Lepisosteus oculatus: one gene and its partners. The protein of the gene in region 4 purifies or fractionates together with the protein of the main gene of each other region. This does not show direct contact. Links are inferred from orthologs where the notes say so. Each region holds a gene or a part of one and is shown on either strand. Other genes may lie near its edges.

Evidence for each region.
Region 1: the proteins of wdr76 (region 4) and camk2d2 purify together in Homo sapiens (affinity purification with mass spectrometry; 3 studies listed by BioGRID and IntAct, counting the BioPlex papers as one, with this or other methods). This does not show direct contact. The link is inferred for Lepisosteus oculatus from reciprocal best matches to the Homo sapiens genes WDR76 and CAMK2D.
Region 2: the proteins of wdr76 (region 4) and numa1 purify together in Homo sapiens (affinity purification with mass spectrometry; 3 studies listed by BioGRID and IntAct, with this or other methods). This does not show direct contact. The link is inferred for Lepisosteus oculatus from reciprocal best matches to the Homo sapiens genes WDR76 and NUMA1.
Region 3: the proteins of wdr76 (region 4) and xpc purify together in Homo sapiens (affinity purification with mass spectrometry; 3 studies listed by BioGRID and IntAct, with this or other methods). This does not show direct contact. The link is inferred for Lepisosteus oculatus from reciprocal best matches to the Homo sapiens genes WDR76 and XPC.

The regions. Positions count from the first base shown.
Region 1 is NC_090696.1:69,085,331-69,092,501, reverse strand, and holds the start of camk2d2 (calcium/calmodulin-dependent protein kinase type II delta 2 chain), read left to right. Parts: upstream 1-4,167; 5' UTR 4,168-4,958; coding exon 4,959-5,020; intron 5,021-6,479; coding exon 6,480-6,574; intron 6,575-7,171. UniProt on the Homo sapiens protein: Calcium/calmodulin-dependent protein kinase involved in the regulation of Ca(2+) homeostatis and excitation-contraction coupling (ECC) in heart by targeting ion channels, transporters and accessory proteins involved in Ca(2+) influx into the myocyte, Ca(2+) release from the sarcoplasmic reticulum (SR), SR Ca(2+) uptake and Na(+) and K(+) channel transport.
Region 2 is NC_090700.1:12,738,957-12,746,935, forward strand, and holds the start of numa1 (nuclear mitotic apparatus protein 1), read left to right. Parts: upstream 1-4,979; 5' UTR 4,980-5,099; intron 5,100-6,950; 5' UTR 6,951-6,977; coding exon 6,978-7,019; intron 7,020-7,315; coding exon 7,316-7,401; intron 7,402-7,979. Other genes in the region: lrrc51 (leucine-rich repeat-containing protein 51), read right to left, coding at 1,176-1,314, 1,855-2,003, 2,431-2,636, 3,046-3,097. UniProt on the Homo sapiens protein: Microtubule (MT)-binding protein that plays a role in the formation and maintenance of the spindle poles and the alignement and the segregation of chromosomes during mitotic cell division.
Region 3 is NC_090699.1:55,825,650-55,832,940, reverse strand, and holds the start of xpc (DNA repair protein complementing XP-C cells), read left to right. Parts: upstream 1-4,273; 5' UTR 4,274-4,443; coding exon 4,444-4,612; intron 4,613-5,128; coding exon 5,129-5,318; intron 5,319-5,636; coding exon 5,637-5,767; intron 5,768-6,613; coding exon 6,614-6,725; intron 6,726-7,235; coding exon 7,236-7,291. UniProt on the Homo sapiens protein: Involved in global genome nucleotide excision repair (GG-NER) by acting as damage sensing and DNA-binding factor component of the XPC complex. Has only a low DNA repair activity by itself which is stimulated by RAD23B and RAD23A.
Region 4 is NC_090700.1:56,865,698-56,873,030, reverse strand, and holds the start of wdr76 (WD repeat-containing protein 76), read right to left. Parts: upstream 3,015-7,333; 5' UTR 2,868-3,014; coding exon 2,784-2,867; intron 2,616-2,783; exon of another isoform or gene 2,485-2,615; intron 2,477-2,484; exon of another isoform or gene 2,008-2,476; intron 1,597-2,007; coding exon 1,450-1,596; intron 107-1,449; coding exon 14-106; intron 1-13. UniProt on the Homo sapiens protein: Specifically binds 5-hydroxymethylcytosine (5hmC), suggesting that it acts as a specific reader of 5hmC.

The DNA of each region.
Region 1 (7,171 bases), on a different chromosome or scaffold from region 4:
TGTATTCAACCAACCACAGTTACCCGCTACACAGCAAGGATCAGACAGAGATCTTTGGCAGATGTGTCCTAGTACAGTAATTAAAGTCAGGAAATATACTGTAAATGTGTGAAAGATATAAGAAGATATACTGTAATATTATCTTCCAAACTTTCTGTTTACATGTACATTTTAGCCAAAGTTCTTGAGATTTGTTTTACTTGTTTTATCAATAGTGAAGCAAAGAAAAGAGTATAGTTCACATTTCTACATTGTGAGTTAATAGAAATAACCACTTATTTCATCATCATGCTCTACAATATGATCTTATATCCTCATCTGTGATTCAGACAAACCTCATGTACTGTAGCATTGAGTGCTGACTAAAGTTTTCAGATACAGTAGATACCCAGCTCTTGGAAGACTGACAGACCTTGCTCAAGGTGGACACATTTAAACCATTGCTTAAGCACTTATTAAGGGAGGTATTAACATGTCACAGGAAAAATGAATAAGCCACTTCACATTGCTGAAGATTTAAGGATCTGGAACAGTCTTTGTTAGTGCTGGGAGTCTGAAGATAGAAGAAGACTGTCACGAAGTGTTTTTCAGGACCCTATGCAGATGGCAGAATCTGGAGGGGAGTGAGACAAACACAGGGAAAACGACTAGGATTGGGGCTGGAAGAAAAACAGGGGGTGTCAACTCTCAGATGTTGGTGACCACCGGGATCTCCAGAGCATTAGTATCTCACCGTCCTTGAAAATAACACTTCCATCACCAAAACATTCTGCAGTAAGTCCAGTCTGTAAGAATAAATATTTACAGTAATTTAACAATATCATGTATTAAACACAAGCAGTATGTCCTCTGGATACTGGTGAGTGTACAGTACCAGCTACCAGGCAGGACTTATATTACATATATGTTCTTTTTAAGAGTTAAAATTGTATTTTTTATAACGAATTGGATGTCACATTAGATTCAGAAGATAAGATAGACATGTGCTGGGCTTTGCATGCAGGTAGCAAAAATATAAACTATAAATACAAAATGGGAACTCCTAAGCTGGAAACAGCTACTTATGAAAAAGGTTAATGTTTATGTTGACACCTTATGTACATTTTCTATATAATGTGTAAAAGCTAGAGATTAAGATACATGAAATAATGAATGCATTCTTTTTTATGCCAGATATTTAACAAATGCAATTGCATAGCTTTGGAGCAGCATCCCTTCTTAAATCACTCAGCATGTATCAATTTGGAGATTTCTTCCTTACTAATGTATTGTCTCATTAGCTTTAAATACTTGGAAGCAGTGAGGCAGAAAATCAAGAAAAACTCTGGTGCTCACAAGAGTAAGTCTCACCGTGTGGGCTGAGGTAAGGCCACAGCCATTCGATGTTGATTGGCTAGGAGGAAACAGGAATTGACAAGAGACTACTGCACAACCTTTGGCTAAGAAAAAAAAAATAAAACTGAAAAATGTCAGAGCTCTGAGAAATTAAATTACAGCAGCAGCTCCCTGTGCCCAGATCACTGTGGTTAAAAGAGGAACAATGGCTTTCTACTTTCTCATCATTCCTCTCAAACTGAGTCATCTGTGGAATTTGGTTACTCAGTTCTGTTCCATTCATGTGTAGGATGATTTTGCCCTCTTCTCCCAATTTCAGGGAACCAAAACGTTTTTCTGAGGTTTTAAAGCATTTACTGGGCAATAACATTACAAGTTCTCAAGCTATCTGTAGACCAAGCCAGACAAAAAATCACCTTTTAAAAGCAGGAGAAATATGAGCCTTCAAAAACCTCATGTGTTAGTGTCACCTTTTACCGACCGCTGGAGAAATAACGACTATACTGTAGGGATGAAAGCTGTACTGCACAATCACTTGTATAAATCTATTCTGGAATAGATTTTGCCTGTTTATGAGGGCATCTGTAAATTAAACTTTAAATACAGACTTCAATAGTTAGCATATAAACCATCTGAATTCCTGTCTTTGGTTGCATACAGTAAATGTTTTACAATGCATTGTTGTTTTATATGGACACAAATGTTTGAGAATCTTATGGTGTAGAGTATCGTCATATTAAAGGGGAAAGTTGGTCAATGGTGAGTATGATAATTTAAGGACTTATGCTTTACTTTTGAAGAAAACAACTTGCAACCTGTGCAAAGTATTTAAATACGTCATAAATATATTCACTTTTAGTTGTGGTAAGGAAGCATGAAGATTTGATTTCATCAAGTTGCAGAGTAGAAGAATCTTTGTAAAGATGCCATTGTCTATTCACTCAATGGTACGTAATCCTCTCCTCCTGCTCATGCTGTGTACTGTATAAACAAATGTCCCAGAATAAATTTAAAACCTTTGAGATGTGAGCAAATCATGTAAAACAACAATCAAAGTTTACCTATTGAAGTGAAACAAAATGGGGTGATTTAACATTAAAATAAAACCCACTGTTTAAAATCCATAGAGGACAAAACATAACCCTCTCCTCAGCATAGAAAAGCCACTAGAGGACTCTCTGAGCTTATAAATGCTGGCCAGACACACCCCCACCCCATATTTAGGAAACAGGAAATTGGCAGTTGGTTTATATTGCAAACCTACAAACTATGAATAAGGGAAGTAATTCAAAACCAAATAAAGGTAAGTACACTACAGCAGCTGACTGCAAATACAGCACTGTATATACACACTACAATATACTGTATATATCATAACTTTAACAATAATGTAACCCACATTCAGCTATAAATACAATTGTTACTAAGTTACACAATGCAGTAAACTCATATCCTAAATATGGATCACTACTATGCGTTCTGTAAAATACCACCTAACAGCTACAGTAAATGCTTTGTACTGTATATCCACCAGAATACTGCATATTGTCAGGTTATTTTGAGGGCACATACATTCTCTTGTTTACCTCTCCAACAAAATTCTCATACAGTACCTTCATCTTGATTTTTTTTTTCATAAAGGTGCATTGACTTGGTTTTCTGTGTTAAATTCTGGCTAAGCAGGGATTTCTTTTTTGCCTAGCCTGCATGGTGCCTGTGTTTTTGAGACACAGTCACAAAAGGTTGGGCAACTGCTGACAGACATACATTTATCTACAATATCACTTAACTACAAAACAAGGTGCTTACAGATGGTCTCCCCTCACTGTCCTCCCGTGACATCAGTGAACGGCAGTCCATTGAACCCCACGAATGTTAGATTTCAGATCTGAAGGCAGGTAGTAATTACACAAGACCAGATCTGTAGGGTAAGACTAGTGTTCACAAAACAGTGGCTTGACCAAAATAAAATATGACAAGCACATTGTTGTGAAGCAATAGCATACTGTTGGGCAACACAACACCCCCCCCGTTGATAACTTGCTTTAGTTTTTTCATCAAAATTGTTTTCATAATATCCTGTTAGTTGTTTTGTTTATTATGTAAACAGCTTGATGATAATACCAGAAAATGGTTCAATGCAGATCCTTGTGAGTTACAGGTACCCCTTATTCTTCAAATGCATGAACTTCTGTTATGTCTCAAGAGAGGTGAATCAGTGTCTCTTCATCTGTAGAGTTAGGCATAACAGATAGCTGGATCTGCATTACAAAGTGAAGACCTGGAAGTTTCTATTCATAACAATTTTGAGTGTAGAAACATTGAGGTATTTATTTTTCAGAGATTTCGGAAAAGAAAACGGGATTTTGTGGATGATCACTGAAACATTTCCAAAGAAAAGCCAACCTCCGCGGGTACATCACTGATTCTGTTGCATTCATTTGCCATTACTGCGGTCTCAACTCAGGATGAGGAGGCTCCAATATAATCAATACTGCTCTTATCCCTATCGTCTATTTATTTTCTCCTCTTATCATTTTTACTCAAAATACATAAGGGGCAGAGAATTTTACAGTCGGATGAGAAAAAATAATAGCGAGCAACAATATTCTCTGCTGAAATTTCACCGTCCTTCTGTGCCACTGTCAAATATTAATATATTAATCTGTGCAAGACGAACTCGTTCGGCCCTCGCAGACGGATCTATAACGCTAAGCAAACAACGAGAGTTAAAAGTGGTTTCTCCTCCCAGTTTAACGTAACTCTCGCACTACTTTTTCCGTTTCTCGCGGTAAACGGGAGGATTTATATTCGTCTTTCTGAAATCTGGTTGCGAACATGCAGTATTGTAGAGGCACTGTTATACAGATCTGTGATTGGGGGGGGGCAACAAGACATTGTGGTTAACACAATGTATCGCATTATTTTAAAACTGCACACTCTTTAAAATAACCCAGCAACATATAAGCCAGAAAATTGTTTTTGCAGCGCGCACATGAGTCGTGGTGTTTCTGTGTGGATCGAAACCAATTAGTCCTTTAAAGATTAAAGCTGGTGTACCGCAGGTGTACACCACACAGCGAAATGACCACGCCGTACACAAACATCTGACCCATATTGTTTGCTTTTTGTTGTTGTTGTTGTTGTTGTTGTTGTTGTTATCGAACAATTCAAAATACATTTTCCTTTAAAGGCTAAAGCCGATTCAGAGGTCTTGGCGCTATAAGAAGCAGGGCACTTATTCGCCTACAGAGATAGACGCTTCGGATTTACGATTTACTGTAGACATCTTCTTGCAGAAATAGGAGATTGGTAGTACAGCTAGGGGGAGATCTGGTACAGTATCTAAAATCAGGAAGCACTCCAGAGAAATGTTATTGCACACAGAGGCTGTGTGTCAGCAGAGATCTGCCGCTTTCAACGTTACTAACGCAAGCGAGATTCAGTGATATAAATATACATTTGAGACGCAGTCAGGCGTTTTAGAATCTCCTCCACTGGATTTTTACTTTTTGTTTTTTGGGACAAGAAACCACTGAAGGAAGACTGGAACGGGGAGATCTTAACAAGATACATTTTAGAGGCATTTTTGTTCCTTCTTCATTTAGCCCGTTTCCTTCATCATGGCTACAACAACCTGTACCAGGTTTACTGACGAATACCAGCTTTTCGAGGAGCTTGGGAAGTAAGCAAGTCTCTCATTATTGGAAATAGATGTTAATAAACCTATGTTTATGTCAAGCAGTAAGCTATTGCACAAGTTATTCGGTAAGCTAGAGGGGTAAGACTGCGCGTTTAACAGTGCTTATGGGTCTATTTGAATTCAGTAACCTCCTGGTGAAAATTTGACTTGAATGAAACTAAATTTAAACGATCTGCGTTCCTTTATGCAGTATATAACCTATGTGCTCTAAATAGTGTGCATATACATGGGTGTTTATTTTTGTTGTTACAGTACATATCTGGTGGACTGCTTCGAAGGGTTGGTCGGTGTTGCATTTGTGTTTTAGACATTCGCTAGTGCAATGCGATAAGGAGTTCACTCTAAGCAGACAAAATAACGTTGTTTCAGTGCCCACCTTATATTTAAAACAGAATATCCCATAACACACGCTGTCTTGATTTCTAGTAATTAAGGTGTATAAAAAGCAACAGGCTCTCTATCCGGCTGTATAATAGTGTGATCATGTTCTTAATGATTGGATTACACGCTTTGCCATATCCCCACACTTGGAAGTAACAGAAGGTGACCTGTAGATTTATACTGTAAGTCTTTGTAATTGCTATTATAGTAGCTGTTTGCTTCTGTCTTAATATGGGACGAATTTAAATTAATCGATGTTGTCTTCCGTCCACATACTGTACAGTACATGGAGACCGTTAAAATGGTTAGACATCCTTCCAAACATACTGTAGTTCTTCATTTTGAATTTTAGTTTCAAATTGATATCATCATTGATATCTCGTTTGTAAATGAAATCCACTGTGTTCATCGCCTAGGATTTTGAACGTTGCTTTTATAAATGCGGGTGGAAAAATGTTAAGCTTGTATTTAAATCCCATGGTTTAAATACGGTTTACGCAAACAGCTGGTATGCTTATGCTGGTATAAGAAGCAATTTACATATTAAATAAGTTTAAAGATATATCTGCTGTACTGCCAGTAAAAAAATGTGTGGGGGAGGGTGCAATTAGGTCATTTTCACTTTCTTCTGTTTGCAGAGCTATTTACAGCCTTACGCCTAGACTTAAGTCCAAATGATGATTCATGGTAGTGCCAAGAGACTTTGAGGTCTTTAATATGTTCAGTTTAACTTCAGATGGTTTAGAAACACAAATGTCAAAGCACAAAAATTACCTCTAATGGGATGCAGTTCTTTTAAACCCGCTCTTTCCCAAAGGCCCAGTCTCTGAGGTCTAATTATTAATAGGGCACAGTATTCCGCAGGGATGTTTCATGTCCAAAAGATATTTTCATGATCGTTCATATTATCTTAAATGTGTATTTATATTTAAATATGAAGGTCGATCTTTTTTGCTGTATTTAATTCCTTTATATGTATAAATTGGATGTTACATATACTGTATACTGTAAATATTATGCCAAGTGATGCAGTGCTCTGTGTCTGTTCTCATTTTTATAGGGGTGCCTTCTCAGTTGTGAGGAGATGCGTGAAGATCTCGACTGGACAGGAGTATGCTGCCAAAATTATCAACACTAAAAAGCTCTCTGCCAGGGGTACGTGCCTAGAAGCCTTTCACGTTTGTGTAGGGTACCTATGGAAATGTGAAAGTGTAGTGTGGAATTGAAGAAACTTTGAAATGAAAAGCTCTTCTGCATGAATCCAGCCAGCACTTCTGTGAAATTACTGAAAAAAATCTTAACAGTGAATGTTTCCTTCCAGTAATGTTGGCAAAAAAGTCCCAGCCATTGAATATCAATAGTCTTAATTGTTTTGTATGTCTCGTTAGGAAATCTTTCCACTTGCCAATCCTCATAAAGACAAGCACCACGATACTGATTGGCTGTGTGCAAATAGTAAGATGTTTTCAATGCTTTGTAGGCTCCTCTGAAGTACCGCTTTATGACAATTGTGGAAAAGGGGCTTTTAGTGAATAGTTAGTTACATAGTAGTTCAGGTGGGTAGCTGCGTCACCATGCATAGGCTGCCAAGGAACATGTAATAGGTTTATTCCATGCTGAAAAGAGAAGGAGGAAAACACAACATTTCTGTCCTGGAGCCTTCTTCAAGGTTACATGGTTGTTAAGTAATATATATATATAACTCTTAGGCTAGTTAAGTATTTCTGCTGTACAGGTCACCGAGTTCTTAAA
Region 2 (7,979 bases), about 44 Mb from region 4:
GGTTAATCACTAATGACTTTTCTTGAGAAAGTGGAAGTTATGAAAATGAAAGCCAACAAAAGATTCAAGCCCTAGTTTTTATTAACAGAAGACATTTTATTAATCTGAGGTTCATTAATTTTTTAAAAAAAGAAACAGGAATTGAGGGAATGTGGAGACTGGTCCTCATCCATTTACCTAGTGTTGAAAAGTCAATGGCTGCTGTACTTTCAAACAGTTTTAATGTCAAGATACTTAAAAATACAAGAGTATTTTTTTTCTTTTTAATGTATTTATGGTCACTTTATATTTTCTTTTCTGGTGCGAGCAGATCTCTAGTGCAAAGACAGGCACTTTTTGGGTTTTAAAGGGATGAACCTTAGGGCTGTAAAACATGAACAGACATCTTATTTTTGGCTTTTTGCAGCGTGCTAATAGTATTTTTTTTACTTAAATGTATTACTACCTGAATTACATTGTTTGTTTCTTAGGCTAGTACCAAAACAGCATTCATTAATAATGGATTCTGTTAATACCATTTTTTGTTGTTTATTGAAATTATGCATTAAAAATATTTGAAATACCTGATAATGTTGAATGTTGTTTTTTTATGCAAACATTCAGACCTTAAATATTAAAAATAAAACCATAATTTCTGTTCATTTGCACCAAACCAGTTGCCATATACTGTATATTACTATCACTGTGATATGGCATGTGATATACTGTAACACATCACCATACCCAACCCTATACAGTTTCTAAAGGGTAAGTATAGTTACACCCACTGCACGAAATAATGGACATTGCAGAATATTTCTGACTTTACAAAAACTATGTGATGCAGCATATACATCTTGCCTGGCTATATAACAGCAAAATGCAAATTTCGTCGTACCCAACTTACAACAATTGACTGCTGAATGTTAAATAAGATTCTTTGCATTCCGTTTGTTAGATTTATCTGTGACGTAAATGAGGAATGAGTGTAATTTGTTAAGGAAAAAACGAGTATGGAAACATGGTATGATTCTTCAGAATGAGGAAAATATTTAAATACAGCATGAGGCTAGCATTTTACATTATGATGCAACTCTACTACGCAGTGATGTGAGAGAGAGAGCTGTATTCTGTTTTTGCAGCACACTTCAGTCCCGTATGACATCAGGCTTACTAGGCACGAGCGTGACTTCCATCTATTCATTTGGAGTCTTCCTGGAGCGCTTTGGTCGGCTGGACCCCCTCCTCCAGATCTGGGCAGTGACCCTGTCCTGCTTAGTCACTGCACTGAAATCCAGTGACTTTAAATGAGGGAGTGCTGAAATCACGTAGTTCCTAACAACATTAAGGACACGGGGAAACGGCAACTGTGAGAGAAGGCACGTGGCATGAGTGGACTACAAATAGTAAAAGACGAGATTCCCGATGGGAATGCGATTCTCAGCATTTTATGCATTTGGAATGCATGTGATGCATGATATTTGACCTAGATGTTTTACTTGTAAAATACAGCAAAAATGTGAAAATGGCTATGCTCTTGATTTGTTTCAAATGTTTTTCCATTGCACTGATCAGATATAGATCTCCCTCACTGGCATACAGGGCAGATCGTAACTTGAGATCCAGCTCAATAAAAAACATGTCAAGAAGCAAAGCGTCTCCTGATGTTCTGGGCACCTGTTCTTTCTAGCACCAAGCCCACCCTAGCTCGAGAAGCATCATGACCAGAAAACCAGTCTAAATTAATTTTCCTGGAGCGGCCTGATGCAGCTTGCTCCATTAGAAACACGAACCCCAAAAAGGACATTTTGAGTGTAAAAAACACAAGGTTGCAGAAAACGATAGGAAGCTTTCTGTAAGCTCCGCTTCACTGACCTGTAGTCTTTCTCATTCTCCAGCGTGTTGCCGTGTAGAGTCAGGCTTTGAAGGTGAGGAAGAGCCGCCAACTTGTCCACTTCTGATAGTCTGGAAATGCTGTTTCCGTGGAGATACAACACCCGTAACTCCCTGAACTCAGTTAGGATCTGGGGGGGGGCAAAGACATAACATGACTTCATTGGCTTTGACTCAGTGATACTCTAGGCCTTTGGATTGCCGGCCTGTCTTCAAAATGATCCTGATCGCCTCAAAGATCGTATTACTGGACACTGCTTCACATATCTACTGCAATACATTTATCAATAGAACAGGTAAAGAGAAGAAAAGAAAGACAGCGTCTCAGCTGTGGAGGAACCTTTTAACTGTTCCTTTGCTGTCCATGCATGCTGATGCAGCGCCATACCTGAATGTCATTAATCAATAGTGTAACAGAAGTCCACAGTCGTGTTTACTATGCTCCTGTGACCTGCTAGTTCTGCTTATTGTAGTGAAAGGATTTTTCTGTTAGTGCTAGCAGGTGGAACTCTCCACACCTGCTGTGCAGCCAGAAGGAAGCATCACAGTAGCTCTTACTGGGTCGATGGTAGACAGGTCATTGAAGGACAGATCAATCCAAGACAGCTGTTTTGGGTCATCCAACAAGGCAGTAGAGGCAGTGGCGAAATCACTCAGGTTTGAGAGAATATTGTTGCTCAGCCTCAAAGCTTTGCTGCAGAACTTCCCTTCTGGGGTACGATGGACAGGCTTCAGACCTACATTGGGATGCTCTGACAGGACATCTGCAGGAAAGCAAAAGAACAGGCCGGGCGATACCTTGTAGTAAAGACGGCACGGCCGTGAGAGAACAGTGCATCTTTCTGTTGAAATTATTTAATTTTAAGACAAGGACTGGAATGCCGTTAGCAAATATGACTGTAATTTATTCAAGATCGCAAGAAAAAACTAATGCCTTTTTAATCTTAATCCTTGGGGATTCTGTGTCCCATTCCACACACAAAAAAATCTAGCGATGTTTTTTGGGAACAGAACGGAAAACTAATTTCACAGCTACATGAAACAAATTGCATACTGAAGATTAAGTATACATTATGCAGGGAGATACCTTCAGGGATTTAATCATGGATGATGATGCAGGAACAGGATACTGAATGAATTGTATTGCTATCAAACAGCTATTCTTTTTTTTACCTGCCAAGGAACTGAGGCATTTAAACGAAAAATCCACAGGAGGGCCATACATTTTGCGGCCCTTAGGCGCACCTGTAAATAAAACCGACAACAGAACAAAAGGTAACATCTGCCAGACCAAAGTAGCTGAAAGTGATACAGATTATTTCCAATCGCTGTTCTAACTTCTAAAATTGAAAAAAAAAGATTGCATATTAATAGCAGTTAATCACTACATGTCAATACAAACTTTTGAAAACCTCCTAGAAAATTTCGGGACGACAACGACAATTAAAAACGCTCCCATTTACAACATGAAAAAAAGAATAGGTTTCTCCCAAGCCACACAAAAATCTAACACAATCTATTATACCAGAGCAATACTCGTTTCCCCACTTCGGTCATTAAAAACATAACTCACCTGGCACCTCTTCAGTTCCTACCGCAATGTGCTAAATAATACTGCGACTCTGAAGCAACAACACTTCATTTCCATGACGACCGGAGAACGTGGCTTTGTGGGAATTGTAGTACTACAGCTCTGTAACGCTTGTAGGACTGTTCTTGCCATATATACGGAAAGGCTCCGGGCTGCGGCGACCCTCGCCAGGAAGCCACGTGTTCGCTATGGTGCATGGATTGCTTCTACACTACTATTTTCCACCAGTCAGTTTACTGAAGAGCAAGAAAATGCACCACTCCTCGCTATACAAACATTGCACATGAAATCAGGATTGCTGTCATTAAATCACAACTCAAAAGTACACTATTCTCTTCAGCGTTTTCTAATGTTTAATTTGACTCCTGTTTTGCACGAATTCGGTGGTTTTTATAATTGTGTTTACAGTTTTTAAACACTTTGAGATACTGTCACAAAAAGGGGCATATAAAATAAAGGCTATTGTTAATATTGTTAATATTCTGCTGGATTTCATTTGGAGAAATATGTTTGGCCACAAAAAGATTACAAATTGCAGCTCTCTTTTGGAGTTCAGGGATGGCTGAGCCGTCTTGTTGCTTGTTGTACGAAACTGCACCTCGTCACTACAAGATGTCTTCAAGGAAAAGTGCAGCTGGGAGACCTGTAGATGGCGCTATTTCCTCCGAGTTATGGGGAGCTGGGATACAGCGTTGTAGGATGCACTGTCTGGCAGGAGAGACTTAAAAATATGCGTTTTTTTTAGGAAGATGAGTGTTAATCCTGGTTAAATTGGGTTTGCACAATTTTTATATGACCAAACTAACCCCTGAATTTAGCTGGTGAAGTAATTTCTCACTTTTCTATGTAATGAATAACCGGGCTGTTGGTGCTCAGTGACGGTACTGCTGTAGTGTTTTAAGTGAGCCTCCTTTTATATGTGAAGGGTTTGGTATGGAAAATACTGTACTAATGCAAGCAATAATTATTCTTTTTATTATGAGCAGGCTGTTTAAAAGCAAGACGGGTGTTCTTTTGGTTAGGGTGAATGTTGGTTTCTCCAGGGCAAGCACACCATATTTTTATATATTTCTTTGCAAGTCAAAACACTCAAACGTTATCTATTTAGTCTTTATGTTGTATTTTAAAGTCGATAGCTTTATTTCATGAATCAGAAATCGAAATAATCTTTAAACTCCATTTATCCTACTGTGTCGAGTTAACGTAAAGAATATATTGTTTTCATAAGTCAGAACAAGTACTGAAATTGTTAAAACAGTAACAGATTCTTTGTCATTAGAATTGGACAGTGTCTTGACAAATTTCACAACCGCACCTATATAAGGGGATTTTTTCTACTTTTGTTTTGTATACATTTTGGTTTGTATTAAGACAGAAAGTGAGAGTTTATTATTATTAATATACACGCTGCGTTAAACATGCAGCAACTATTGATTTATCCAGTTCACCGCACTGCACCTTGGGTGATGTAACCTAACCTGATGGGATGTGGGCGTGAACTTTACGTGTGCGGAATCTCCTGACGTCGTGCGTAGCCAATGAACGCATCCGGTGATCTCAAGCGCCGAAATTTGAAAACGATTAGACAGGCAGAAGGTGACAGTGAAGGGGTTATGGTCTATTGTGTATTTTAAAGGTAGGTTTATTTTCCCCTCCACCGTCCTGATCACACTTTTTGTAAAACCAATTATTTTTAATAATTGGTTGTTTACTTTGAAAGAAAACTTTTCATCTTTGTTATGTTCCTGACTGCGGGTTTGTATATTTGTTTTCTTGACGGTTAGCGTTTACAGATGTGATATAAAGTTTTGTGTGCATGCTAACGCACACTAGAGTCTTTGCAACCCTAACTATATACTTAGCACCGTTACGGTGGGGGCTAGCTATATTGAAGTCAGTCTCCGTTTGACTGTCGATAAGCAATGATTAGAAAACTGATTAGAAAAGACGAACAACAGAAGTCATTCTAAATGTCTTGTTTGAGCTCTGTCGCATAAGCACAACAGAGCAACGACCGAAATTTGGTCAAAATGTTAATTTGCTGCGTCTGTGATGTATGCGCGGTTGTTCGTGTTATCTAGGATTAAATTCGAAATCGCGTAAAACCCCTTCTTTGACTCGGTTGATATGATCGCGGTTACGAAGGAGTTCCCAGGTTAGCAATCAGAACCACTCGTGAAGTCGGTAAGATTTCCAAAGTGAAATGTTTAGGTGTAAATGTGAAGGATCTCTGATAGAGTCGGAACTCTTAAACTGGGGCCAACAACCCAGGGGAATACGTTGGTTTTCTTTGTCTAGTATATAATTAGACTAGGACTCTAATTTCTTGGTTTAGGGTGTGTCGCCTATTTTAGACGGATTTTCTGTTAGTTTGAAATCTGAAATGACCAGTCAGTGAGTTAATGAGTAAATCCTCCACAAGGAACGCCCTTTTCCCAAACAGGCTTCTGAAATTTCAACAAGATTATCCCTTGATGACGAAGTTTGTTTTTCCTAGTTGCATGTAAGAACTACTATTGCGGTAGCGCGCTAGCTAATGCACAACAATCTTTGCTCAGCATGTAACCGTGTGATGTGGGCCTATATATACTGTATATGTTTTCAGTCAGCTTCGTTACCAATTTGCACCGACCTACACTTAAAGGTCTTTGTTTTAAAATGCCCAAGGTCTTTAAGTAACTTGGTGGTTCTGTGTACTTTTAAACGGTGGACACATTTTTCCCATTGAACAGATGAAACTGATACTGTAACTGTATCAATTAAAATATTTTCGGTGTTATTTTCCTTCTAAACCAAAAAAGAATGACTTCAAGCAACACCTTTAAGAACGGTCTTTTTAAAAATGACGAATCTGAACAGTTTGCTTTTAGTGCATCAAGCATTCAATTGTAAGTTGTTTTTTTCTAAAAGAAAATGTATTGGTTAATATTGAATATTGGAGAGAGACAGCAGAAAGTGAAGTCTGAAGACCATTATGAGTATCGATCCTTAATAACTGACTTTGATTGTATCCATCGAACGTTGTATAATTAAGGGCAGAAATGAAAGGTAACATAATTTAAACCATATGTACATATTATTAAAATAAGTGTATCTTGTTGGGTTCTAAACCTGCTCGCTCACTGATATTTGAGTCCTAGATCGTTGTAGCTGATCCCACTGCTCAGTTTGCTTTAATACTGTATATAACATTACTGTTGCTTTTTCTCATGATGAACAATGATTTTCCTTGTTGTCCACTGGAAAATTGTTGCTTTAGGGTCCTTCACGTGAAGGACTTAATCAGTAGAGATTCTCATTTTCTAACAGAAATGTTTGAATGCATAATTATATTAAGATGATGGTTTGTGTTCCAGTCATGAAATGTTTGTGCTCGTTTATAGATCTAAATAATTACTCAAAGTTTGCTTTCCAGCAAAGCAGTGCTAGTATTTTTGCAAGTGACCTTGAGTGCCAGTTTTGCTCACCAGTTATGCTCCTCCTGCAGGAGACAAGAGAGCCTGTATTGCTAGCAATGGCTCTTCATGAAACAAAAGAAGCTGCTCTGTTGATTTGGGTAAGTGTTATTACTGCTAAAGCTTTTTTTCTCTTTATCCTCTTGTAATGGGCAATATAGGTCTTGGCTTTTGGTGTTAAATTTCATGTTACTAAAGGCATCTGCTTGTGTCAGCTAGACTGTGCTTCAAGTTGTTGTGGCCAAACTGCACTCAAGTGAAATTTTGTGTCAAGCACAAAGCTTTCTTTACATAGGAAACATCTGCTTAGTTTGCCACACATCGATTCCTTTCACAGTGTAGTTTCTTTTTTTAAATTTACACAGTCGCAAATCTCTTTTTTTTCCTGTTTTATCAGATCAACAGCCTCAACTTAGAAGAACCTGTTGACAAGATCTCCAACCTGCAGGATGGCCGTCTTTTAGTTAAACTGATATACAAACTGTAAGTGGCATAGCCTAAACTCTTCAGTTTATGGTAACAGCTGAATGGGCACAGTTTTCATAGCACTAAGTGGGTGCAGGGCTAGAGTCCCAGAGGTGTCAAGAATTCCAATTTTAGTTCCAATTAAAAAAGTTTTTAACTTAACTGAATAAATTGTTTAATCAAGTTATAATAGCTGAGTAAAGTCGACTGGCATATGCGGGGGTTAGATATTTTGAGTAGTGCTTAAATTTGTGTGTAGTCAAATTGTACCCTATGACCTTTATGTAAACTCCCTAGTAACCTCTTAATGTATCACAAGATATTTAGTGTTTTTAAACTTATATTTAATATGATGACTGTATAGGCTTACTAATTAGTTCTCCTAGGCCTGCTTGATGAATGTTTCAGAGAATTAAGTATTTTTCATTTATTTTCCTGAGCCAACTGCGTAAAACTGTAAGTTGAGAGTGCATTAGTTGCAAGTCGACTGTATTTGTGAAACCTGCTGACCTGGGGCACATGCAGAACGGTAGTGCACTTCACTGATATAAGAGTTTTTACTTGCATCCACTTGAAGAATTATAGGGCCCCATGTG
Region 3 (7,291 bases), on a different chromosome or scaffold from region 4:
AAGGGAACTGTAATAAGTGCCATCCTTCAAATAAGATGCTAAAATGTGGTCCTTTGATTAAAGGCCTCATGGTGCTGTTGGTGAAAATACAAGTGTCTTTGTTACTTTCCAGTCTGGGCTTGAACAATCTGACCAAGTAAATGTCTCCTCTCTCCCCCAGATTCAATTAATAAAGCAATTTTTCACTGCGCTGTCTTATCTGCTGTATAATGGGGCTGCTGGCTCACAATGGCTGCCACACTTCACCCTTGTGGGTACTGCACCTCAGTGGGGGACAGAGGGGGTCACTTCTCTTGATTTTAGAAAATATACTTTGGGGATCCCTATCAGGAGTTGCAGCAAAGAGGCTGGTTAGCCACTCCCTATGCCAGCCTGTGGTAGATTAATCCAGGAAAGGTTCCGGAAAGTTCCAAAAGTAACCAAATCCTAAAAACATGAAGCAATGGCGTAATCAAAGGATTGAGCTAGGGTTTCGAGAGCCAAAAGACAATTTGGTTTAAAGTATTTCTTTCCCGAACTACGTAAAGCGAGGGTTGAGCTCGGAAGAGGCAACCTCATTAGTGAGCAGAGACTGAGTGGAGTGAGAGGGTATACTGTAAATACGGAAGATGGAGGGAAGAGTGTGTAGAAAGATAATTGATTAATTAGTGCATGGATGTTAACGGTGAGAAGTGCTTACGTGTGGTTTGTGACAATCCTTTAAAAAAGTAGTGTATAAATGCAAGTACCAACTATTAACTATCAATCACTTTTCTGAGTGTTTCTTTACAGAAAGAAACAACGTATTGTGCCATAAGTACAAAAGCAGTAGGTGCTGAAAAGTGTTCAGAATTAGTTCCCTTTTTCTTATCCTGTTTGCCTCAGAGCATACCAGTATCCACATGTTGATGGGACAGGACAGATGCTGTCTTTGCTGTACCAAACTGGGTTTTGTCATTGGCTTCAAATGAAAAAGTCACCCTCGGAAGAGGCCACAGATCTTGTTGTAGTTACAAAGTAAAGTGTTACATATCTGGATGTTACACATTGCTTGAGATGAATATAGTCTTTCTTTAAAGGAAACACTTTCCGGTGCAAATGAGAGTCCTTCCTAGTTCATGATTTTCACTTATTAAAGTGGTCATTTTGTGCAAGTTTTGAAATGAAGTAAAACTAAGACATTCAATTAATCTTCCATTAAATGTCTTTTCATTTACCATATGTAATCTAACCCTGCTGCAAAGATCAGAATGATTAATCTAATCAGTTTAACATAATGTGAAGGTTTCTAGACATTCAAAATCCAACCTCTCAGAGCAGGGTTGTTACACAAGTGGAAGACTGCTGGTTAGAATCCCGACATCTTGCTATTCTAAAAAGTTCAAAACACAGCAATCAGAACAGCAGGTCCTGTAACTAAGGCAATAAAGTTTTACATCTGTTTTTGAAGGACACAGGAGATGTATCTCTTCAATTAACTTCTGTCTACTTCAATGTTTGTATACATCTCTTAGTACCCTCAATTTTGTAAACACCATATTGTTACAGTATATATGTATAAAATGACAGTGCTGGAGACACATAAATGGGTTAATTTAGGATGAGGTGTAAACTGGGAGCACTTAGTGAGATTTTTGTCTAATTCTTTTACATGTTCTGTTCCTTTTTCATGTTTTTGTGTATGGTTAAAGGAAAGACACTATCAGGGAGATTGATCAAGTCCATGTTTTGTCCTGTTGTACATTTTATGTAATTCTAAACTGTGAGATAATGTGTGAAATAAAGTCCACCAGCTTATATAATCTTGTATCTTTGTGTTCTTTTGTTGGTGTAGCCACAAAACTAAACCTTCCACGTATGTTTTCTTATTTACTTTAAAATGTAAACTTCAAGCATGTTCTGTGCTGGGGTGGAATTAATCCCCTCCCCCATCTCCAGTTAGAACAAATAGTGCAGATCCAACATTTCACTGTGGGAAAAATGCGCTGCACAGCAATGGAACAGGTATCTCGTCACAGTCTGGAACTGGATTTGCAAGGAGAAGAAAAAGGCGGTCACATGGGAAGAATTATGTCATTTCGTGGTCTCATGGTGATTTTAATTCAGCAAAGGCAGCGACTGAAAACAGAGAAACTGGCTGATCTTCAAAGAAAACAAGAAAAACTGCACCAGAAAATCAGATAAAGGACAGTATGACATGAGACATAAACATGAGCTTAGACGTGCTTGTACCAATATTCTATAATGAAATACCTACATTATGTTGTGAAGAGGTGGTACCGACCTGCTGCAGAACTGTTAATATGTGTATTGCCAGAACTTATGTTTTCATTAATCAACTATGCTTCATTTATTTTTTCTCTCTCAGAGATGTATCCTATTCAAACTAGGACATCTGCTGTGAAAGATTTGAATATTCAAAGCAAGTGCCGGCTCAGAACCAGCGTGCAAGATGACCGTGCCAAAACATACAGTAAATGGCTCTGTGTGATGTGGGCTTTTGAGGGATATTGGACTCATACAGGAAAGGGTGCCACACACTGAAACTGAGGTCAATGAAGGAAAAAGCTGAACAATGTGCAAATAAAAGAGCAAATGCAACAACACTTGAAAAACTGCATGAATCAAAATGATTACAGATCATCTGTAGATAGTTGTCTCGTTTAAAAATTATACCTGTTCCATATCTTATGATGTTTTTCCCGCCTAGCTATTACAGAACAAAGAGCTTCTATTACAATTTCACAATGCTTACTTGATTGTCTATCTGTATTACACAGGAGTAGAGTAGGGACTGGCAAACACCAGACCTTCAAATTTAGGATCTGGTACAACCAATCCTTTGCATGCTTGATTGATAATCCTTAATTCATGCATTGAAAAATGGGAGCCAGAAACCTGCACCGAAAAGCCTGGTATTCTTTCACCCCTGCTACAGAGCATAGCGCTTCATCGGTGAGCTTCAGAGAATGCTGCAAGGAACACCTTCCCAGCTGGCTTCACAACCACCTAAAGAAGCTGTCGTGGCTGAATTGCGAGATACTCTACAGCCTGATTAAAAAGCCAAACAATAACACAGAATTAGACAGAACATAAAACAATTCAATACATACGAATTAATTTCTCTTTTGAAGAAAATGTAATGCTTTAGACAGTTTTAGCATTTTGGCACAGTATAGATTTTTTTTAGATTGGGTTATATACAGAGTCGCATAACATAATTGTAAATAATCGAAAAACACATTAAGTACTTTAATTGCAAATACTGTACCATTACTTTAGTGCTGTAAATGAAAAGAAAAAGAGTAAGCAAATATATATTTTACCAAAAAGATCAAATTTACTGACCTTATTACCAGAGTAAAGTTGTTGTTTTTTTAATTTCGTAGGTCAGCTTCTGGGTTTACATCAGTTCATTCTATAAATTCTTGTGAACATATACAGTACAGTACCACCTTCACCCAGTTAGCAGACCCGTATTAGGAGAAGGAAATATTACCAAGCAAAATATTTGCCTGTGGCTCCACCTAGTGTTCCTTAAAATAAAATAGAAAACCAAAATACAGTGTTAGACAACTCCAGTCGTCGAGAGACGGTTGGTATTCCAACAACTACAGCAAAGGCTTCTGAAATTATTAACTTTAGTGAGCTCAATGGGTAGCTGCTTCATGCATGCGTACTGACATTTACACTGAGAATTTCACTTGAAGTGAAACTGTCCCAAAACACTTGAAAAGGTCACTTTGAAATCAGAAGTAGGTTGAATATTAAATGTACCTTGTTAACGTGAGTAAATGTTTACAAGGAATTATCCAAAATAAAAAAAATTGTACTCATCAATCATGTTATTTCTCATGAAAATAAATACGAAGTTCTTGACTGAGAAGTAAAAATATATTTTAACTTTCTCCAAAATATTTTGTAGTGCATGATATGCATATCTACACACGTGCAGCTTCGTTTTACAGCCTGGGCTGATGACGAAAAGTAAATCTATGCACATGCAAAAGGACTCATTTGAGCAACTCTGCATATATACTGTATATTAAACGAAGGGGTCTTTCGGAAAGAATTGATAATGTATCTTTCGCTAATTCAAGTTTTTGCATTGCATAAACTGAATATCATTGTCGAAGTAAGCAAAAACATCGAAGAAATATCATTCCATGTAAACATGTATATTCAAGTCAGGTACAACCACGTGTAGCTAACAACATTCAGCTACATCAGCACCCCGATGGCGGACATGTTATTGGCCGGAAGTTGACGTTCGACGTCACTTCTGAAACTGGTCTGCAGGGAGAATAACAACAAATGATACGGAGAATGTTATGAAAGCTTCAGGCATTGTACAACAAGAGTCTGGGGGAACTTCCTGCAAAATGAAAGAGGTTACATAAGTTAAACTCTATGGAGTGTGCGCACGGTGGAAACCGAAGTTCATTCGAGTAACGTCGGTCGTGCATGTTTTTATTTGTGTTGCAACTAAAGTTCCTGCAGCCTGTTACGAGCATGGCCAACAAGCGAAAAGGGTCAGTTGATGCCGCCGCAAAAAAAGATAGCAAGAAATGTAAGCAGGTCACAAAGGGGAAAGAGCAAGAGACTGTTAAAAAATCAGCAAAAAAGATTACAGGTAAGTTAGCATGGTAGTGATTCTTCTGTGCTGTGCTATTCTGTAATCTATTGTGCATACCGGTAACGTTTTACATATATAAAAAATGCATGAACAGTTGATTTTGTTAAAACAATCGTGTGTATCTCGGTATCTTGAATTAAAATCAGTTTTTTTTTTGTTTCTAATCAGTGAGTTTAAACAGCGGCTATTGTTTTTGTTCGTCATGAAACTGATAATTAACATTAACGTAAATAACATGGCCAGGAATTGTAGTAATATAAAATACAATATGTGGTTTCCGTGGAGTCCGAAAATATACCGTTGAGATGTTTGCAGCACATCCTGCAGGTGGTGGGGTTTTGATGTTTTAAAATGTTTTGCGTTGCAGAAGCAACCCCCTCCCGACCTAAATGCAAATATAAGCACTCTTCTCATTCATGACTTCAGATTATGAAAACGTGGGTACGCGAACAGTTACGTGTAGTACCAAAGACCTGGGTCTTATTTCGTCACACAACTCTTCTTTTGATTCAGAGGATGGGCGCCCTAAAGGTGATGCTCCGAAGGCAGTAGCCGCAAAGAAAAGCGCGACCAACTGTAAAAAAGTGCCTGGGGCTGCTGCTAAAACTTCAAAAGCGACGAGTAAACGCCACAGAGCGACCAAGGGAGTCAAAGAAGAGCCTGCACATATAAAAGAAGAAGATGATGATGATGAAAAAAATCGGTAAAAGTCCGAGTTGCTCAGTATCTCTCAACAGGGAGTCGTTCCCAGTTGACATTTTAATGACTCTTGGCATACAGCTATGAGAATGGAATGGTGGCTTGTTAACACTCCTGAGGTTTGTCATCTTGGAGGAGGAGTGCCTAGCTTTTCGGTGTACTGCAAGCAAGCCGTACTATTCAAGCTGGGTGTACAGAATGAGGAGTAGAAGTGCTGTCTGCCAGTCTTTAAAATCTCTTTAAGACACACCCACAGTGCTTGGCCGCGTGAAGGAGTGGTCTGGGATATGACTGATATGATTCGACTTGTCCCGGCGAGCAGGCACGTGCAGCCCAGACAGGAGGAAGGCAGCAGTCAGGCTGGCTGGGGTCGTGAGGGAGCCGCGGTGGTGGTGAAGAAAGAGGAGACGGACGAAGACGAGGAGAGTGATGAGGACTGGGAAGATGTTGAAGGTAAGCCAAACAGCATGTATTTTTTATTTTTTCACTTTTTTTATTTTTAAGTGGATTAACGTGTACTGGGCAGCTCTGAGGGTTGCAAAGGAGCAGGTATCATATACTACAAATGGACAAGTAAAGGTTTATTTCATGCTGAAAAGAGAAGAAAAGAAACGGAACGTTTCAGCCTTCATCGGGATATGACACCTGAAGAAGGCTCCACAAAAGAAACAACGTTGTGTTTCTTTTCTTCTTTTTTCAGCATGGAATGAACGTTTACTTGTTCCGTTGCAGCCTACACATGGTGACACAGCTACCTATATGATATACTGTAGTCTTCAATGGAGACTGTGAGGCAGTACAGTATATATTATTTGGTTTGAAGTGTTAAAGTCATTGCTTATGTGTATCTAGGTCTTATAAGAGCTGCCTATAAGTTCTGCAAACCTCAGAATGACAATGTCATGCTTGAAAATCTAATGTTAGACTTTAGTTTGCAGAGCATATACAGTATGGATACATTTCATTTCCTGGTGAAATTGCCCTTCTCCTGAATTCTTGTGGGTCTGTTTGACCAAGTGGAAGACCCTGTTGGACCCTGTGGTATATTTGAAATAATTGAATCAAATGGGTTTCTGGCCTAAATGGGATACACTACTTTTATCTCTGTTATATTTTAAGTGGAAACAATTCTAACCAAATTCGTTGGATCAGCTCATTTTGAGTAAAATATAGTACTAGTGCTCCGGACAATCTCTACATTACCTGTAAGGAGACCCTTAACCATAAGCGATGTCTCCTTGTGTAAGTCTGTAGCAATTTCCAGGCTGAAGTCCTTGTTTCTCTGAACTTTCTTCACAGAACTCAATGAGCCTATGTGTTCTTCCCTGGGCCCCTCAGAGCCAGCTCTGCCCTCTCAGCCTGTGGAGATAGAGATTGAAACCCCTGAGCAAGCCAAGAAGAGACAGAGAAGGCAAGAAGCAGAGCCTGTTACAACTCTAGAGCTGCATGGACAAACATTTATACAGCACTACCCTCAATTACACAACAGTAATAAAAGTGTGCCACAAAGCATGATTTTACAGTATCTCTTGCTTCTGAAGGGTATAGGTTCACATTTGAAAAAGGATTTTTTTTTAAGCTAAAAAAAGTAAATATTTTATAGTGGATGTTGGAATGAAAGTACATAATGTACAGACAACTTAACACTTTCAATACAAATTGCAGGCAGCACTTACTGTATGTATTTTTGGTGAAAAATATTTGATTTGGCCTCTTTGGAAATAAGTTGGCATGGAGGAGGGGCAGTTGGTTACTGGCACACCTGGACCATCTTTCTGAATGATGCTTTCACAATCATTTGATTGTACAATTACAAATGTAATTAATCGCTTGTTGTAAAGTTATTCTATTTCTGTGTATGTGCATTGCTGTGTCCCTGTAAGTTGATGTGTTAGTGACAGATGTGGTGCTGCATTGGCAGGGAGAGAAGAAAGGCAGAGTTTGAGACGTACCTTCGCCGGATGATGAACCGCTTCA
Region 4 (7,333 bases):
GCAGAAACCTCACCGGGCCTTCCCACTCGCTGTCACTGCTGCACTCGCTGTCCGACCTGGACCTGCTCCGTGACGCGGCAGGCTCATCCGACGACGAATGTCTCTCCTGACAGACGACAAAGTGCACAGTAAACATGTCGGCTATCATCTCTTCAAATGCTGTGATCAAGCATGAAATTATTTTTTTGTCTATTTATGATTATGTTTTATTGCAAAAGGACATTTTCTATAGAATATTTGCTCAGTTTTTCTTTAATATCCAACACCAAAACATAATCAGTTTTAAAAAGAAAGGCTTGGGCCGTGCACCTAAGCATGAATTCGCAGAAGCTGAGCACGCCAACAAGCACGGGAGAGACAGAATTAGAGGGTTCCCGAGATATCATAACAAATAACAAAAACATCCGTCAGAAGAATGGCCTTTTGTAAAAGGCACAGTTTTGCGACGCACAGAAGGCGTACGTAATCAGCTGCGTCTGCTTTTGATTTGTTTTGTGTGATGCTGGACTCCGTCACTGTACAATCTCCCTTTAATCACTGCAGATCGAGAAAAGTGGGCTCTGTTGAACACCCTCAATCAACTTCTACGAGTCCTGATTTTGGATTCTAACCAAACCCCACCGTGACTGACCTGACTAGGCCCCAGACTTTTTTTGAGGTTTCTATAACTGAGGACTGTGGGTGCCGATTCCCTGGGATCTTATACCTTTAAAGGATTTCATGCTAAAACTTGCTAGTACACTAGTGTAGCGGAGCTAGTGTGGTGACGTCAGCGCCCTCCCTGGGCGCAGCAGGGACCTCAGCTGCCTGGGCTGAGGGAGGTCTCCTTTAGCTCATGGGGCTGGTTCCCTGTTGCGTGACGCCGGAGACCCGGGTTCGCGCCCCAGGTGCTGCGGGACGAAACGGGGTGGCGGAGGGCACGAGCCCGCGCGGAACCGCGACGGTCACACTAGCACAGCCTCACGTAGAATATCCTGTCGGATTTTGGTCACCATGTAATAGAAAAGATGTTGCAGCTCTGGAATCAGTCTAGAGAAGAGCAGCCAGACACATCTGAGAGTTTCAGCGAACGTCCTACACTGACAGACTGAAGGAACTGGACCTTTTTATTTCTTTATCAGAGATGACCCCAGGGTGGGGGGCACTGTCTGTACTGAAAATCCTCAAAGATATTTGTCAAAGAGAACCAAGCAGGCATCTTCAGAACGAACAGTTAGAACACAAACCAGGGGGAATAAGGGCAAAACACTGTACATGGAAGAGCACTTAAAAGAACCGACTCCTTCACCCTCAGAGCTGTCAAGAGTCTGGAACGAGCCCGTCCGGCCTTGTTGGTTAAGCCCTGGCTTCTCCTCGCATCAGTTAACTACTAACTCCCGAGGGGGCTCGATCAAGAAACAGCTGAATTAGATCAGCTACAGACTGGCCATCAGGGGCGAACGGGTCTACCTTTCTCTTGACGCCCTGCCCCGGGGCCGGGTGCGCTTTCCCGGGCGACTTGCGCATCGGGCGCTTGCTGGGCAGGACCTCTCTCGGCACGGCGGCCCCGCTCCTCCCCGCAGCCGCGCCCGGGGGGCTCGGAAGCAGAGTCTGCTCCTGTAAGATGTTTGCAGGCCAAAAAAAACGTTACTCCACTTGGTTAACAGGCTGGGAGGGTGTGTTGCAGTTTTGCGCTTGTGGAGGTCTAAAAACAGCGTGCCGATTTCAGATTTGATCCGTCAGCCTGAAGTTTTCGGCTCCTGCTATACTCGGGAGCACATTCCTCAATAAAAACCACCATAAGGGATTTCAATCCCAGTTTCCCCACTAATAATAATAATAATAATAATAATAAAGTGGCAGGAATCCTCACAACCAAGCACGTTTTAAACGCAAAAGCGGAATGAATCCAGGTTGATTCTTTCCTGAACAGTCACGGTGCAGAGGCTTTTATTCACATCATCTCCCGAGGTAAACATTACTTAAATTAAAAATAAAATGGCATAATGCTGCTCAAATTTGATATACCGCACAGTAAGCTCCCGAAACGGCTTTTTTCCGAGGTACAGTAGAGGGTGTGGAAGTCAGGACAGGTCTATAAGAAAGACGACGCTATCGGAGAGCTCCGAGCACCGCGCCGGGAACCCAGATCCTGCATGACGTCACGCCGCCGGTCCCGAAGAACAGCGGAACTCCGCGCAATGCACTCGAGCGGACGGCTTATTTCTATATTACAAACATTAAACGTACCACTAAATAAAACCAGTTCAAATATGCAATGAGTTTGGCAGGGCTCACTGACGTGTACCACGATTGCCGAGATGCAAAAATAACAACCCCCCCCCCCCCATCTAATCATGGCACCAAGACTTCTTACAGCGAGTTGACAACTCTCTCAAAATACAGATACAACAGTTCTGTACACCGAAAGAAGACGGTCCTGGCAAGACAGTAACTACATTTCCTCCTCAGCAGCGTCTTTCCTTGCGTCGGGGTTTCACGTACAGACCAGCAGCCTTCTTGACTCAGACGCGTCTCAAGCAGACAGAACAAGACCCGCAGCCAAATCCTTGCAGTGTCGTATTAACCTACATCTGCTCTACTGCGGCCGTGGCGTGGTCTACATTGTGTGAAGTCTGCAACGTAATCATCGAGAAGATCAACCTGACGCAGAGAAACACTTGTTCCGCCACTCGTCGGAGCTCCCACGCACAAGAAACAACCACCAAGGTTCAGTATCGGCGACAATTTCTCAAGAACAAAGCTAAAAACCCGGTGTAAACTCCTGTAATGAGAGAACTCACCTTCATTCGTTGTAATTTCACATAAGGAATACAACCGGAGTTAAATTTGCTTTGCTCAGCTACAGACCTCACCGCTGTTGGCATTCTCCGATATTCCTGTCAAGGAGTAATGTGCTTTTATGCGATGTACAAGCAACCTTTCCCGTCCCTCCGCGCCTGCAGCTCCGTTGTGTAAGTTTCAACTCTTCCCGCGGAGTTATGAAACAGTTCCCTCGCGCGCTGGCCCGGCATCAACAGCCGCGTCACGCGTGACGTCACCGCCGGCGCAGCCCTGCCGCGAACAGGCTGGTAGGGGAACTGCAGTTCAACGAGGGAGCTGGCGTGCGGGCGGGTGTCATTGAATCCCTAAATAATAATAATAATAATAATAATAATAATAATAATAATAATAATAATAATAATAATAATAATAATAAATGCTTACACTTATATAGCGCTTTTCTGGACAATCCACTCAAAGCGCTTTACAGGTAATGGGGATCCCCTCCACCACCACCAATGTGCAGCCCCACCTGGATGATGCGACAGCAGCCATAGTGCGCCAGAATGCTCACCACACACCAGCTATCAGTGGGGAGGAGAGCAGAGAGTAATGTAGCCAAATCATAGAGGGGGATTATTAGGAGGCCATGATTGATAAGGGCCAATGGGAAATTTGGCCAGGACGCCGGGGTTACAACACCAGACCTCACCTCAGATCTAGTGTGAAATGTTAAAAAAATATAGGAAATCTGCAACGTGCTTTCCAAGGCTACGTGTTTGGAAACCTGCAGTATATTTTCAATCCGTTGAGATTGGCTGTTTAAATTGTATTTATATGATGCTAGTATAACAGTGTTTGTCAGCTGGCTGAAAATTTTCCTACAGATGATTTTTTATTGAAGAATATACATCAGAGATCAGAGATGATCCCGGGGGGGCACTGTCTGTACTGAAAATCCTCAAAAGTATTTGTCAAAGAGAACCAAGCAGGCATCTTCAGAACGAACAGTTAGAACACGAACCAGGGGGAATAAGGGCAAAACACTGTACATGGAAGAGCACTTAAAAGAACCGACTCCTTCACCCTCAGAGCTGTCAAGGGTCTGGAACGAGCCTGTCCGGCCTTGTTGGTTAAGCCCTGGCTTCTCCACAATCCAGCCATAGTGCGCCAGAACGCTCCCCACACATCAGCTATCAGTGGGGAGGAGAGCAGAGAGTAATATAGCCAAATCATAGAGGGGGATTATTAGGAGGCCATGATTGATAAGGGCCAATGGGAAATTTGGCCAGGACGCCGGGGTTACAACACCAGACCTCACCTCAGATCTAGTGTGAAATGTTAAAAAAATATAGGAAATCTGCAACGTGCTTTCCAAGGCTACGTGTTTGGAAACCTGCAGTATATTTTCAATCCGTTGAGATTGGCTGTTTAAATTGTATTTATATGATGCTAGTATAACAGTGTTTGTCAGCTGGCTGAAAATTTTCCTACAGATGATTTTTTATTGAAGAATATACAGTATATTGAAGAATTATTGATTTTCCAAGAGCTTTTTTTCCCTAGTTTTGATTATTTTAGACTCCTATTTTTTTCTTTGAGGAATATTTTGTGACTGGAGGGCTTCAGAGACAGATTGCAGAATTGCTCATTTGAAACCCCAGCTAGGGTCAGTGTTAGCATTCACACGCTACTTAGACAATTTTTACCTTTAGCTCTGGATTCTGGGGCCCAAGTCAGTGATCATTTGCTCTTACCTCCAACTTTTTGGAACATTTGAAAGTGTTAACCCATTAGAACTGGCTTTCTTACAACCTTTGATCTGACTCCAGTTTTGGAATACAATCCCTGAACCGTGCACTGCAACATCCAAGCGGCCAAAAGTCTTGAAAAAAAGAAAAAAAAAAGGTTGGAGATAGGAGCAAATTATCAGCCTTCCTAGCGCTGGCTTAGGTCGCACAATCCAGCCCTGATCGTAAAAATGTTCTATGTAGTGTGTGAATGCTAGCCTCATCCGTAGCTGGGTTTCAATTGAGCAGTTCCAGAACCTGAGTCGTTCGTCTACCTGTGTAGCACCATTCAGGAATCAGGGAGTTCCAGCATGGAAGTACTACGACAACTGGCAATTGCGCCCAGCTGCATGAAGCAGCTCGAAAGACATGACTGGAGATCCCGCATTATAATAATAATAATAAACTTTATTTTATATAGCGCCTTTAAAGGTGGCTTCTCAAAGCGCTTTACAGGATGACAATAACAATAAATAAGAAGACTACAACAATAAATAAGAAAATTTCACAAGACAGGACACAATTATAATTACAACAATACAACAATAACAATAGAGGAGACCGTGGAAGATGGTATTAAGAAGAGCAGAGGGGTGAAGAATGGAACCAGTTAAGTAAAGGCTTTACTGAAGAAGAAAGTTTTGAGTCTGGATTTGAAGGAGTTTAGAGAAGGTGACTCTCTAATATCCTTGGGTAAAGAGTTCCAGAGCTTGGGGGCATAGCAGGAGATGTGCATTAGGGTCGACCACAATTTTTATGTGCTCGGCTGGACGCATGCGACATGTGGTGCCTGGGGAAGATCCTGCAGATCCCCTATGCCAGACACGCAACGCATGCAGAAGTTCGACGCACCACCGGTTGCCAACCAATCTCCCAGTTGATCGATCTCCGATATTCCTCTGCTTCTTCGGCCACATGGCAGGAGCTGCCCCGTGTCAGGATCTTCATCATCGCGCGACAGCTGCGGGCGCTTCAGAAACCCCAGCCGGCTGGAAGAGACCAAGGGGCAGACCCGGCCGGACCTGGCTTCACACGGCTGAGGACAACCTGAAACCTCTGGATATAGGCCTGGACACGGCTTGGCAAAGGTGGCTGATGGGGGCGGCTCCTCCGCAATGAAGCTTGCCGATCATGATGATGATGATGATGATGATGAATCAAAATTTTTGCGAAAGTTCCTCAAACCAAAAGATATGATTCTAAAGCAATCAAAACTAATAATGTTTCTTTATTAGCCCTATACAATTTCTTGCATTAGGAATGTGTCTTTTTACATACCCCAGCTTTTTCTCCATGGAGACACAGACACAGAGACAGGGAGAGAAGCTGGGGGTCAGAGCGCAGGGTCAGCCATTGTACAGCGCCCCTGGAGCAGCTGGGGTAAAGGGCCTTGCTCAGGGGCCCAACGGAGTAGGATTCCTCTGCCGGCCGCGGGATACGAACCGGCAACCTTCCGGTCACAGGTGCAGATCCTGAGCCACAGGGCCACCGCTCCGCCAGTTATTGCAAATGCATGGTCTTCAATAGAACAGGTTATCATTATACTGCACCTTTTGATCTTACTCAGTTTTCAAATTCCTGAGTGCTGCAATACCAAACAAAGGCAGCCAAAAGTCTCAGAAAAAAAAAAGATTCAGATAGGAGCAAATAATCACTCGTACTCATGTTCCCTTGGCACCCAAAATCCAGCACAGAGCTTCAAAACTGTCTAAGTAGTGTGGAAATACTGACCCTGATCCCAGCTGGGGCCTCAGCAGAGCATTCCTGCAAACTGTCTCTGAAGACCTTCGAGCGAGTGAAATACCTAAAAAACATACTTAACTTACTTAAAAACGTCAGAGTTCTGGAGTGTGTATCAAAGGAGAACCTAATAATGCCCTGCTGCAGCTGATGTAGTCAGTGTAGTCAAACATCCTTCTCACACAGCTGCAGGAAAGAGAGGGAAATGGATGGAGCTCTTTTAAATAATCGACTTGAACACTGGGGAAGCCACTTCATATTTTCTGTATTGAATTGCAATATAAACATTGAAACTAAGTTCATGTTAAATTTGCTTCACTACTGTTTTATAAAAATAAATAATGGATTACTAATGTTCCTTTCCCAGACCTTGTGTTGTATCTTAAGCATTCATACAGTGACATAGCAGTCATTTACTGTACGTGCCTCATTAGTGATTTCAAACCTTGTATCTCCTTGTAGTAACATTGTGTATAACATGGTCACGATTTACATATTACCACTAGGTGGCATTATGCAGCTGTCTCTTGAGTCCTCACATCGCTGTGTACATTCTCACAAGAGAAAGAATCAGAAGGGAAAGCAAAAGAAAATACCTTGGGTTAAGTTCCCATGCTATGAAAAAAGTACTAGTTATTCATAGCTTTCGATTATGTAAAGTCTATTGACTACTTATTGAGATAACAGCTTTAGCTTTCTGATAAATTCTTCAGGATCATGACCAGTAGATAAATTCCTAAAACTGTTAAAGGACATTTGGTAACAAGCAAATAAGTTTCTATGCAATCCCTTCCACTTGTTTTGAGAACATAAACTATAGTGATCCAGGGTCATTAAGAACTTGTTTACTGTTGATTTAATACTGTAGACCACCTCTTATGAACAGTCATGAACACCATTTGACTTCTAGAACACAGGTTATCCAGCTTCCCCCAACATTAGACTATTGCATTTGTATTCACGTGGTAGTACTCAAAATGTACACATGCATCTTATAGATTGTGTCCACAGGTATTGCCTGTGAAATGAAAAGTGATTCT